Oryctolagus cuniculus: one gene and its partner. Each later gene encodes a partner of the first gene's protein in a complex. Links are inferred from orthologs where the notes say so. Each region holds a gene or a part of one and is shown on either strand. Other genes may lie near its edges.

Evidence for each region. The genes of interacting proteins can lie anywhere in the genome.
Region 2: QRSL1 (region 1) and GATC share a complex: the UniProt entries of both Homo sapiens proteins name them as parts of the heterotrimeric GatCAB amidotransferase (AdT) complex. The link is inferred for Oryctolagus cuniculus from reciprocal best matches to the Homo sapiens genes QRSL1 and GATC.

What each region holds. Positions count from the first base shown.
Region 1 is NC_091436.1:64,566,238-64,572,832, forward strand, and holds part of QRSL1 (glutamyl-tRNA(Gln) amidotransferase subunit A, mitochondrial), read right to left. Parts: intron 4,672-6,595; coding exon 4,466-4,671; intron 1-4,465. UniProt on the Homo sapiens protein: Allows the formation of correctly charged Gln-tRNA(Gln) through the transamidation of misacylated Glu-tRNA(Gln) in the mitochondria. The reaction takes place in the presence of glutamine and ATP through an activated gamma-phospho-Glu-tRNA(Gln).
Region 2 is NC_091452.1:16,475,913-16,482,860, reverse strand, and holds the start of GATC (glutamyl-tRNA(Gln) amidotransferase subunit C, mitochondrial), read right to left. Parts: upstream 3,762-6,948; 5' UTR 3,723-3,761; coding exon 3,642-3,722; intron 3,564-3,641; coding exon 3,391-3,563; intron 1-3,390. Other genes in the region: TRIAP1 (TP53-regulated inhibitor of apoptosis 1), read left to right, coding at 3,830-3,976, 6,455-6,538. UniProt on the Homo sapiens protein: Allows the formation of correctly charged Gln-tRNA(Gln) through the transamidation of misacylated Glu-tRNA(Gln) in the mitochondria. The reaction takes place in the presence of glutamine and ATP through an activated gamma-phospho-Glu-tRNA(Gln).

The sequences.
Region 1 (6,595 bases):
AGACTTTTATTCTTTTTTTATAGCTGTACAATACTCCATGACAAAGTTTTACAATAATTTATTCAATTAGTTCTCTATGGCTCGGTATTTAGGTTGTTTGTAATATCTGACCATGTCATGCAGTGTCACAAGGAATTACCTTATGTACATGTTTTTTAGTATCCTTCAAAGTTTGTCAGATAAAGAGAGATTGCTGCATCAAAGGATCAACACATCTATAATTAGATATTGCCAAATTCCCCTGTAATAGTTATATTATTTTGAATTCTCACCAGCAAAATGAGTGCTTTTCTTTTGTTTTTAAGATATTATTTATTTCTTTGAGAGGTAGAGTTACAGAGAGGACAGACAGAAAGGTCTTCCATCTGCTGGTTCCCTCCCCAAATGCATGCAACAGCTGGAGCTGGGCTGATCCAAAGCCAGGAGCTTCATCCGGGTCTCCCACGTGGATGTAGGGGCCTAAGCACCTGGGTCATCCTCCACTGCTTCCCCAGGCTATAACAGAGAGCTGGATTTTTTTTTTTTTAAAGATTTATTGATTTATCTGAAAGAGTTACACACAGAGAGAAGGAGGAGCAGAGAGAGAGGTCTTCCATCTGTTGGTTCACTCCCCAGTTGGTTGCAAAGGCCGAAGCTTCGTCGATCCAAAGGCAGGAGCCAGGAGCAGCCAGGACTTGAACTGGTGCCCATATAGGATGCTGGCGCCACAGGCGGAGGCTTTACCCACTGTGCCACAGCGCTTGCCCAGAGTGCTGCTTTTCTGACAGGTTTGTCAACACAGCATGTTGCTGGGCTTTTGAATTTTTGCTAATCTATTAAATGGGAAGTTAGCGCACAGTAGTTTAATTCCAGGTTTTAGATCGATTAACGCAGGGTAGTTTTAATTCCAGCACCAGGACAGAGAAAGTACAAGATCCTGAGATTTCTTGTTATGCCATAGAACAAGGAAGTTTTCCGAGGCTGGCGCTGTGGTGCAGCGGGTTAATGCCCTGGCCTGAAGCACCGGCATCCCATATGGGTGCCGGTTCTAGTCCCGGCTGCTCCTCTTCCAATCCAGCTCTCTGCTATGGCCTGGGAAAGCAATAGAAGATGGCCCAAGTCCTTGGGCCTCTGCACCCGCATGGGAGACCTGGAAGAAGCTCCTGGCTCCTGGCTTTAGATCGGCGCAGCTCCGGCCATTGTGGCCATCTGGGGAGTGAACCAGCAGATAGAAGACCTCCCTCCCCCTCTCCCTCTCCCTTTTCCTCTCCCTCTCCTCTCTCTCTGACTTTCAAATAAATAAATATTTTTTTTAAAGAACAAGGAAGTTTTCCAAAATTAATGAGGATAGGTCTAGAGGATGCATACAACTTGATGCAATTTGGCTCCAACTGGCCAAATTGAGCATGATTTAACTATCAAAAATAATGATTACAGTAATTCCTTTTAATACATCGTATAGAAACAAAGAGAAAAGCTCCTCTTTGGAGAAGTCTTCTAACTAATACCAATAGGAATGACAGAATTAGAGATGTCGGCATTTGGTAATTCTTTAGACAGTGATTTAATTCAGGTCAGAATGATCAGTGGCTGCTAGAACTGGATTCAAAATTACTGAGCAGTGGCTTATTCACCGGGTATCCACGTATCACTTATAAATTCCTTTTAAATGACAAAAGCAATGATGTATCTTGATAAAGAAAACATATAGCAGCTACCTCCTTAACAAAGTGATCAACTTAGTGTCCCAAAGTGGGACAAGCTGCTATAACTGTTTCCTGATGGGAAGAGTACATAGGATTTCTGCCAAAAAGGTTTAGCTAAATCCAATCAGAAGTTACCAATATGATAAATCCAGATCATGAGTGGACCTCGTAAAGCACAAATGGATTAGACTCTTCAAAAAGAGTCAGTGTCATTTAAAAGAAAACATTTAAAAGGTGGAGGATTTCTGATCAGAGACTGCAGGACAGAAGAAAGTGGCACAGGTTTTTTTTTTTTTTTTTTTTTTTTTTTTTTTTTTTTTTTTAATAGAGTTAGACAGTGAGAGAGAGAGACAGAGAAAAAGGTCCTCCTTCCACTGGCTCACCCCCAAAATGGCTGCTCCGGCCAGCACTGAGCCAATCCGAAGCCAGGAGCCAGGTGCTTCCCCCGGTCTCCCATGCGGTGCAGGGACCCAAGCATCTGGGCCATCCTCCACTGCTTTCCCGGGCCACAGCAGAGAGCTGGACCAGAAGAGGAGCAACTGGGACTAGAACCCGGCACCCATATGGGATGCCAGCGCCACAGGTGGAGGACCTGCCAAATGAGCCACGGTGCCGGCCCTGGCACAGTAGTTTTAAAGTGCTTAAGGCAGGAACTATTGAACCAGATCTTACCTCCAGCAAAAAACGAAAACAAAAAACACCTTTAAAAATAAAGCAGAAATCAAGACATTTCTGAAGGAAGGTTAAGAGAATTTGTCACCAGCAGGCCTATCCTAAAAGAGTGGCTAAAAAAATTCCTCTAAATAGAAAGGAAGGGATTAAAAAGAACACAATAAGTAAAAGCATGGGTAAATACAGTAGACTTTTCTTTTCCTCTTGAGTTTCCTACATTATAATTGATGATTGAAACAAAGTCAGAGGCCAGTGCTGTGGCATAATGGGTAAAGCTGCCGCCTGTAGTACCAGCATCCCATGTGGGCGCCGGTTTGAATCCCTGCTGCTCTGCTTTCCATCCAACTCTCCACTGATGGCCTAGGAAAGCAGTAGAAGATGGCCCAACTGCTTTGGGCCCCTGTACCTGCATGGGAGACCTGGAAGAAATTCCTGGCTTCTGATAGGCCCAGCTTCAGCTGTAGTGACCATTTGGGGAGTGAACCAGTGGATGGGAGATCTCTCTCTCTCTCTCTCTGTATGTAACTCAACTTTCAAATAAATAAATAAATCTTTAAAAAAAAACAAAAAAACAAAATCAGCCAGATATATTTCTAAAAAAAGCAAGAGAGATGGGAGATTGTTCTAGATTTTAAAAAGATATCATGGCCAGGCTCACTAGGCTAATCCTCCACCTGTCGTGCTGGTACTCCGGGTTCTAGTCCCGGTTGGGCCGCCGGATTCTGTCCCGGTTGCTCCTCTTCCAGTCCAGCTCTCTGCTGTGGCCCGGGAGTGCAGTGGAGAATGGCCCAAGTGCTTGGGCCCTGCACCCACATGGGAAACCAGGAGGAAGCACCTGGCTCCTGGCTTCGGATCGGCGCAGCGCCAGCACTAGCGGCCATTTGGGGGGTGAACCAACGGAAGGAAGACCTTTCTCTGTCTCTCTCTCTCACTGTCTAACTCTGTTAAATAATAATAATAAAAACAAGACATCATAAACAAATGTAATATAAAGGGCAAAACCTTTTTTTTTTAATTTGAAAGAGTTAGAGATCTTTTATTTGCTGGTTCACTCCCCAGATGGCCACAACAGCCATGGCTGGGACAGGCTGAAGCCAGAAGCCAGGAATCCCATCTGGACCTCCCATATGGGCGCAGGGGCCCAAGCACTTGCCATCTTATGCTGCTTTCCTAGGCCATTGGCAAGGGGCTGGATCAGAAGTGGAGCAGCCAGGACATGAACTGGTGTCCATATGGGATGCCAGCATGTATAGCTTTACCTGTTACACCATAGCACCAACCCGAGCAAAAACTTTAAGATATTTTTGGGACAACTGATAAAATCTGAATATGCATTATATTCAGATTCTTACTGAATTATTGTTTTCTTAGGTGTGATAACAGGATTGTAATTATGCAGAAGAATGTCTTTATTCTTAGAAGGGTCATGCATTTGGGGTAAAGTGTCATGGTATCTGAAACGTTCTTTCAAACGACTGGGCAAGAAACACTGAGTGTGTGTGTGCATTGAGACAGACAGAGAAAAAGAAAGTAAATGAGGCAGTCAGTTTACAAAGAAGAATTCAAGAGGAGAGCGTGTGGGTATTCATTATACTACTTTTTCAACTTTCCTATAGTTTTGAAAGGTTTCAAAACATATACCTTTTGAGAGTAGGCATTTGGCATAGCATTTAAGATGCCACTCCGGACACCCACACCCCATATTGCAGTACCTGGGTTCCAGCCCAGGCTTCCTGCCAGTGAACACCTGTGAGCAGCAGGTGATGGCTCAGGTCCTTGAGTACCTGCCACCCATGTGAAACACGCAGATTGAGTTCCAGACTCCTGGCTTTGCTCTGGCTCAGCCCCAGCTGTTGCAAGCATTTTGGATGGGAGATCTATGTCTGTCTCTCTCTCTGCTTTTCAAATAAAATGAAAATAAATAAAAATGGAAAACATACACATGTGAGTGTGTGTGGCAAGTGTGTACACACATGCACACACACTCCAAAAATCATGGAATACCGGTTACTTCTTTTAGCGGACGATCTGTCTAGAACGTAAGCTGAAGACGAGGCTATCTGTTTAAGAACTGGAAGAAAGCCAGAAGGTTCTTGAGGGATCCTCACCTGCCATATTTACAGCCTGTGTAAAAATATCGTCCTGAGCACTTCGCGTTCTGTTGTCTTCTTGGATGAACTCCAAATACGGCACTGCCTCTCTCAAGGTGGTGGGAGTTAACAAGACATCCACTCCGGAGTTGAAAACATTCACAAAGTCATTAGCAATGAGGCGTCTCACTTTCTGTGCTTTGATGAAATAATCCTCATAGTTTCTGCAGGAAAAAAAAAAAAAAAAAAGAGGCTCTGGTAAGGGCTTTTTATATTTTTCCTTGAATCAGTTCTCTCTCACGAGGCTTGTTAACGAACCACTGGACTCTTGGCTTTTATGAGCAGGCATCACTAAGATTCCTAAGAACACACACAGATGACTTTTGTCCTACTGTAACGTTATTCTAGAAGATTGACTATCTAGAAATTGATCAGAATTCACTATTAAATATAATTCCACACATATAGGGGACTTCAAAAAGGTCATGGAAAAATTTCATTAAAAGATAAGTTTGCTTTGGTGCGAATTTGAAATCCCTGTATAGTTTTTCTCATGATACACATGAACTTTGGAAGATCCCTCAACATGCACAGATTTCAAATATTTTTTGCACCAAAATACACTTACCTTTTAACTCCATTTTCCATGAACTCTTTGAAGTCCCCTCGTGTAATCACAAAATATTAACACTTCCAGAAACATCACTAAACCAGAACATTCATTTGCAGGTGAGGAAAATCAAGTTCATAGCAATTATGTGACCTCTGAGAGTTCCGGAGATAGGGAGTGGAACAGGAGACTAGACCGCAGATCTCCAGAGGCTCACCCCAATCTCCTTTCTACTATAATACTTTATTTCATCTATAGAATGATGATAGCTAATTATTTTGAAGACTCAGAGGTTTTGCCAAATTCTTTTTTTTTTTTTTTTTTTTTTTTTTTTGATAGGCAGAGTGGACAGTGAGAGAGAGAGACAGAGAGAGAAAGGTCTTCCTTTGCCGTTGGTTCACCCTCCAATGGCCGCCGCTGCAGCCGGCGCACCGCGCTGATCCGATGGCAGGAGCCAGGAGCCAGGTGCTTTTCCTGGTCTCCCATGGGGTGCAGGGCCCAAGCACCTGGGCCATCCTCCACTGCACTCCCTGGCCATAGCAGAGAGCTGGCCTGGAAGAGGGGCAACCGGGACAGAATCCGGCGCCCCGACCGGGACTAGAACCCGGTGTGCCGGCGCCACAAGGTGGAGGATTAGCCTATTGAGCCACGGCGCCGGCTGGTTTTGCCAAATTCTAACATGCCATCTGGATCAGATACTAGGAAACACTCCCAGGAGTAGTTCCTGGTAGAATCTGGAAAAGACACTGAAGAAAGCATGCAGTGTTTGCAGTTTTGTATTTTAGGCATAGCCTAGGAATGAAAAAGTTGGGATTCAAGAAAAGATCCTCACTTGACTGAAAAGGGAAAGAGGAAAAAGCCAAACATAGGAGTAACCATGGCTAAAGATGCAAACCAAGGAAAAAGAAAACTTTTATTTTTATTTTACTTTTACAGTTATTTATTTGAAAGGAAGAGAAATGGAGACAGACAGATCTTCCACCCACTGGTTCACTCCCCAAATGCCTGTAACAGCCAGGGCTTGCCCAGGTGAAGACAGGAGCCTGAAACTGCATCTGGGTTTCCCACGTGGGTGGCAAGGACCCAAGCACATAAGTAATCATCTGCTGCTTCCCAGGGTGCGCATGAGCAGGAAGCTAGACCTAGAAGCAGAGCCAGGACGCAAACCCAGGCGTTCTAACAGGCGATGCAGAAGTCACAGCAGCATCTTAACTTGATGGGTCAAATGTCCCCAGGCAAACTTTCTTAGATCCTTATGAGGTTGTTAAAGAAGGCTGGCAAAAGAACTAACTGTTGTAAATCTCAGTTAAACTGCAGAAGTGGAGGTAACAATTCCAGCCCTACTGAGCACTACCTAAAACGGAATGAAAGTGTGAAATGCTTCTTACCCAGAAGAGTTGCTCTAGAAATTTCTCAAACTATCATTTGATTACACAATGTATAGAGATGAATGCAGGCATCTCATAAAATTCACACAACAGTAATGGCAGTTGGTCATTTGAATACTGTATGAATAGCAATTTAAAAACCTGGATTTT
Region 2 (6,948 bases), on another chromosome or scaffold:
TGGGTTTCCCACCTGGGTGCAGGGACCCAAGGACTTGGGCCATCTTCCACTGCCCTCCCAAGCACATTAGCAGGAGCTGGATTGGCAGTGCAGCAGCTAGGACTCGAACCAGCACCCACCTGAGATGCTGATGTTGCAGGTGGCAGCTTAACCCACTAAGCACAACACTGGCCCCTGATTTTATTCTTTATAGTTACCCTCTAGGTGATGGAAGATTCTGACTCCTCTTCAGGCTTCTGTTCCTTCCTTTCCCAAAGATACTAATAAAGAACAGTCTTTCAGTAAATGTTTACTGAGTATCTATTTGGTGTTACACATTGCAAACATGAGCAGAAATAGACATGCTCCCAAGAACACAGATGAACAGGAGAGGAGCAGAGAAATCAGGTGTCACTCAAATAGATGTGTGAATAGGTGTATTGTACTTACTGAATACCATGAAGAGTCACATGTCCTGAAAGAACCTAATTCAGTACAATGAAGGGGCCAGCAATGTGGTACACCAGGTTAAGCCACCTGCGATGCTGGCATCCCATATCAGGAGCCCCAGTAGAGTCCTGGTTGCTGCCCTTCCCATCTAGTTAACTGCTAATGTACTTGTGAAGGCAGCAGGAAATGAACCAAGTGCTTGGGCCCTTGCTGTCCACGTGGGAGACTAGGATGGAGCTCCTGGCTTCCACCTGGCCCAGCCCTGGCCGTTGTGGCCATATTTGAGAAGTGAATCAGCAGATGGAAGATCTCTCTCTGTTCAAATCTTGAGAAAAAAAAAAAAAGACTTCTTAAGGAGGTGGCATTTGAAATTTGAAGTAGACAAAAAGAGGAGTGGTGGGAGTGAAGGCCAGGCCGGAATTCTAGGAAGGAGAGCGCATGAAGAACTGAAAGGCTAGGTTTGATGACTCCCTGCAGGCTCCACTGATGCTGTCTTCACCCTAAGGAGCAGTGTGAAACCTCCAGGACGCAGGCCACAGAATGAAAATCAGATTCCATTTTGAAGTGCAGTGTAATAGCAGATTCACTGCCCTGACCCGAGTGCCAGATTGCAAGGAAGAAGAAAGGTTGGAAGAAAGCGTGGCAGTTAGGAGCAAGACTCACACAAAGAATGTAGTCGCAGATCGTCTGGCTGGGCCTGTTCACTAGCCAAAGGCAGCGAATCTTCCTTGCGTCCACTTGCAGTTAGGACTGCTTTTGTCTATTATTTCTACCAAGAAAAGGCTAGGATAGTTGTCAACTGTCCCTATGATTATGAGCTATGTAGTAGTTGACTTTATAACAAATTACCAGAGACAGGCTGCTTTATAGACAAAGTTTATTTTGGTTTATGGGCCTGAGGTTCACAGTCCAGGATCAGGTGGGTCCCCAGTTCAGCAGCTATGTCTGTGTTGATCTGATTTGTCTGACCCTTTACAAGGCCACCAGGACTCCAGTCAGGGCTCCATCCTAATGATCTAACTTAATCACCCAGGGCCCCGCCACCCAGCACCATGATTGAGTTAAGTTTCTGCTCAGTTCTGTTAAGTGTTTGGGGACTAACATCCGGCCTGACTCTGGGGGAGGGAGCACAGCAAGTCACCCATCCTCCTGTCCAAGCAGCTGTAGCCCCCGACAGCAAATCAAGTGTGCTGCTGGGAAGCAGCTTTCCCCAGGAAGGCGCTTCCTTTCAAATTAAGATCTGGCAGCAGTTGGTAGAGGTGGGCGGAAACCGCTCCTGCTGTTCACAGCTGCTTTGTCAGCAAGTCACCTGTCCCCACTGCATGACACTGCGCTACTTCACTCACTGATACCGCTGCTCTCAGGCACATTATGTGTGGGGGCCGGCGCTGTGGTGTAGCAGGTAAAGCCACCGCCTGCAATGCTGGCATCCCATATGGGAGTCCTGGCTGCTGCACTTCCGATCCAACTCCCTGCTATTGTGCCTGGGAAAGCAGTAGAAGACAGCCCAAGTGCTTGAGCCCCTGCACCCGGAAGAGGCTCCTGCTCCTGGCTTCGGATCAGCCCAGCTCCGGCCATTGCAGCCATCTGGGGAGTGAACCAGGGAGTGAGTGAACCAGGCAGTGAGTGAACCCTCCCTCTCTCCCTCCCTCTCTCTCTGCCTCTGCTTCTCTGTAACTCTTTCAAGTAAATAAATATATCTTCAACAAAAACAAAGTTTCCTTAACATTCCCATGAATTAATCATTTTGTGAATTTCTTGCATTTGCTTCTGGGGAACACAACTTAATTATACACCAGCAGATGTAGACTACACATATGGTATGAACAGTGCTGATTTTTACACTTGATCTTAGCCAAAAGGCCAAGAAGCAATGTGTACTGGGTTTTTAAAAGGATTTATTATCTATTTCAAAGACAGATATTACTTATTTCAAAGAGACAGGGAGAGAGAGCTTCCATCCTCTGGTCCACTCCTCAAACAGCCACAACAGCCAGGGCTGGGCCAGGCTGCAGCCAGGAGCCTGGAACTCCCGTCTGGGTCTCCTACGTGGGTGGCAGGGGCTCAAGTACTTGGGCCACCTTCTGCTGCCTTCCCATGCACGCTAGCAGGCAGCTGGGACTGGAAGTGTCACAAGCAGCGGCTTCACCTGCTGCACCACCACAAGGGCCCCAAAGAGTACTGCTCTAATGCTGCCTTTAAAGAAAAAATAGGCATGTCTCAGAGACTTCTCCATGGCAGCGTATATGATGCTATTTGTAGGCTGATACGCGATACACACAAATAACATGTAGTTGTTTCGTTATTTTTAAACTGCTGAATATTCCATTGTGGAAGTGTGTATTTGCCATTTGTTTAGGTTGTTTCTGGGTCCTGTTTTTCGTGTTCTGAAAGGTTTGCCATGGGCTTGTGCCTGCGTCTTGCTGCACTTTCACAGATACTTCCTTAGGGAATCAGTACATCAGAAAATGCATAAAATCTCGAGACAGCAAGCAGCTCAGTGAACTCACACTGTAATAATAACGACAACAAATCAACGCAGGAAACCCCCAACGAGACAGAGTTGGTGACTGGAAGGGGAGAGGGGATTCGGAGTGCCAGGGGGCCACTCTGAGGAGATAAGCCGAGGTCAAAGAGCCAAGGAAGGAGGAGCCAGCCGTGCAAACTCCGGAAGGCAGAATGCACAAATGAGAGCCGACCCGGCCGGTCGCGGAAGCAGTCGGGGAAGCCAGCCTAGTGGCAGCACAGTGTGTGAGACCCCAGGGGGAGGTGCCTCCACGGCGAGGAGCGGCCGTTCGGATTTTGCTCCCGCTTACGTTGGGCGGGCGCGGGGATTGTAAGCGGGAGTGACAGCATGCATAATGAACACATGTCGCTGTGAAACGGGGGCTCCAGCCGCCACCTGCAGCGGCCTGCGGAGGTGCCTCCGTCCAGGCCGGGGGGCCGCAGCCGCGAGCTTACCTGTCCTCCAGGACCGACTCCATGGGCTCCACGCCGTCCGTGTCCACCTCGCGCAGCCGGTCGGCGAAGGCGATGGCTTTCTCCAGCCGCGCTACGGCCTCCTGACTGCCGAAGTCCACGAGCGCTAGACGCTCCAGGTGCTCGATCACCTCGGCCGTCACCCGGCCACTTCCCTGGGGAATGAATCGGGGAGGGTGGGTCACACGGACGCGGCCCGCTCCGCCACCCGCCTAGACGTCCCGGGCCTTTACCTGAGCATCCGCCTTGGCGGTGAAAGCCCGGAACCCACCCAGGGGAGCCCGAAGGCCCAGCCGTACTGCCCGCGCCCACATGTCTCCCCTTCCCGGCACCCGTAGTGCGCCACCCGTAAGGCCGAGCGACGCGCTTAAATGTGACGCCATCAGGGTGCGCCCCTGCCGCCTCCTTCGCAGCCATCGCCATGAACAGCGTTGGGGAGGCGTGTACAGACATGAAGCGCGAGTACGACCAGTGCTTCAATCGCTGGTTTGCTGAGAAGTTCCTCAAGGGGGACGGCTCTGGGGACCCGTGCACCGACCTCTTCAAGCGTTACCAGCAGTGCGTTCAGGTGAGCCGCCGACCCACGTCCCGTGCTCTCTGCCGTGGGCTCCGCCACATTGCTTACGTCTTGCCGTGGCTGGAACCGAGAGCGGGGATGAGGGCCGTAGTGAGGGCAGCGGCAGGAGCCCTCTCCCCGCCCATCAGCACCGAAGCCGCCTGGGTGCCTCGCTGAAAGGCCAAGTACATATTTTCGCAGTGTTTTGCTTTTTATAGAGCACAGTGACATCCTTTGGCTCGTTTGGTGCTTATTCCAAACTTACACAGTGGGCAGAGTTGTTCGTAATTTGTCCATGGCAAACGACACTCAGAATTAACGGGTTGGGCTGGAGCTGGGAACTCAGTGCAGGTCTCCCGGCTGGGACACAGGAACCCAATTACTTGAACCATCACCGCTGCCTCTAGGGTCTGCATTGGAGCAAAACGAACCCGGGCACCCAGATAATGGGACGCGGTCGTCTTAGCAGCTTAGCCGCTTAGCCAAAACCTGACCCTCAACCAATACTGAGAGCGGCTGACAGCTCAGAGGGTTAGTCTTTCTCCAGCTTTTAGGCACTATGGAAGATCCCATCGTTTTGTTGTTAAAATCAATCTTTCTTTCTTTCTTTCTTTCTTTCTTTCTTTCTTTCTTTCTTTCTTTCTTTCTTTTTATTTATTTATTTTGGACAGGCAAAGTTAGTGAGAGAGAGACAGAGAGAAAGGTCTGCCTTTTTCCGTTGTTTATTTTGGACAGGCAAAGTTAGTGAGAGAGAGACAGAGAGAAAGGTCTGCCTTTTTCCGTTGGTTCACCCCCCAAGTGGCCGCTGCATACCCGGCGCACCGCGCTGATCCGATGGCAGGAGCCAGGTGCTTCTCCCATGCGGGTGCAGGGCCCAAGCACCTGGGCCATCCTCCACTGCACTCCCGGGCCACAGCAGAGAGCTGGCCTGGAAGAGGAGCAACCGGGACAGAATCCAGCGCTCCAACCGGGACTAGAACCCCGGGGTGCTGGCGCCGCAAGGCGGAGGATTAGCCTAGTGAGCCGCGGCGCCGGCGTAAAATCCTTTTCTTGGCCTATGTCTGTCTCAAGCAGTCCTTAGCTGCGGCTATGAAATTTTCATGCAGGCTCAGTGGATGTGGAACTGCTCTGAGTTACAGTAGCACTGAGCCAGGCCTTCCCAAGAGGGTAACCGAAGTCAGCTTCACACTGACTGTGAGATGGTTGCTGTCTTTACCCGTTACTGACGAGGAAAGTGAGGTCGGCTCAAGGTCACAGCCAAGAAGTCCTGGCACCCATGTTTGTACCCATGTCTGTCACAAAGAAAAGGGGGAGACTTGTCATTCAGGTTTCATTTTTGAATTTTAATGGCTTCTCACAACTCCTCTTTTAATTTCTCTGGTTTTACACTTGGTTGCTTCATAATAGAACTTCTGTCTGTTTAAAAGTGATCTGGATAAACAATAATATAAATGTGTGGTTTGGGGCAGGTGTTGTGGTGCAGCAGGTTAAGCCACCGCTTGGGGCACCTTCATCCCATGGTGAAGTGCTGGCTGAGTCTGGGCTACCCACTTCAGATCCAGCGTCCTGCTTATGCAGCTGGGAATGCAGCAAATGATGGGCCAGTTACTGGGGTCCCTGCTACCCACCTGGGAGAGCTGGATGGAGCTCCTGGTTCGTGGCTTCAGCCTGGGCCAGCCCCAGCTGTTACAGGCATTTGGGAACCAGCAAATGGAAGATCTATCTCTGTGTGTCACATGCTATTCAAATAAATAAATAAATAAATGACCTGCAGCATGGTTGTGAATCCTGTTTATTTGGCAGAGAGAGGCACTCCATCTGTTTGCTGACTCCCTAAATGTCTGCAACCTAGCCAAAGCCAGGAAGTGGTAACTCATTCTCTTCTCCGGGTGGCAGGCGCCCAATTACCTGAGCCATCGTTGTTGCCTCCTGAGATCTACGTTAGCAGGAAGCTGGAGTCAGAATCTAGAAATTGGAGATGAGAATCAAACCCAGGTACCCAGTGTGGGATGTGGGGACTCGGGCATCTTAGCTGCCAGGCAAAATGCCCACCCCATGGCTGAGTCTGTATAGCATAGTTTGATTTTACTTTAAGATTTATTTTATTTATTTGAAAAGACAGTTACACAGAGAGGTAGAGACAGAGAGAGTCTTCCATCCACTGGTTCACTTCCCACAGCTGCAGTGGCTGGAGCTGAGCTGATAGAGCCAGGAGCTTCTTCCAGGTCTCCCACGTGGGTGCAGGGTCCCAGGGATCTGGGCCATCCTCCACTGCTTTGCCAGGCACATTAGCAGGGAGCTGGATCAGAAGTGGAGCAGCCAGGACTCGAACCGGCACTTATTTGGGATGCCAGCACTGCAGGCAGTGGCTTTACCTGCTATGCCACAGCACCAGCCCTTGATTATACTTTTGTACCATCACATCTTGTTTACAAAGTTTGGTCTTTGAGCATCGTGTAGACCTTATAATGTGTTTTCTCCCCTCACCAGAAAGCAATAAAGGAGAAGGAGATTCCTATTGAAGGACTGGAGTTCATGGGCCATAGCAAAGAAAAGCCTGAAAACTCTTCTTGACCTTGACAGACACCTTGCAGTTGTAGCCCCTCCAATCAGGAAACTGAGGACCCTGGATGAGTCCACTGAGATTGTGAAGATGACCATTGGATTTGATGTGGTGGTTAGTTTTCTTCCTCACTTGTAAGAGGATGAACCACCCACCATTCTGCTTCGAGATGATCTTTCACTTGCTCTAGCATCTCGCAGGAACTCATTGTGCTGAGAGGAACAACTTCTTGGGACTATGGGTGCAATATTTGGTCTAGCGTTAGCTTTAAATATACCTTGTAGGTAAATAATGATAAACTAGCCAGGATGATCAAGGTTGCCTGACCTCTTGATTTTTGCTGCGAATGATATGACATACACTGTACTGGGGTCATTCTTCATCAAAGCAGTAGGCCCGGATCTCTCTCTCTCTCTCTCTC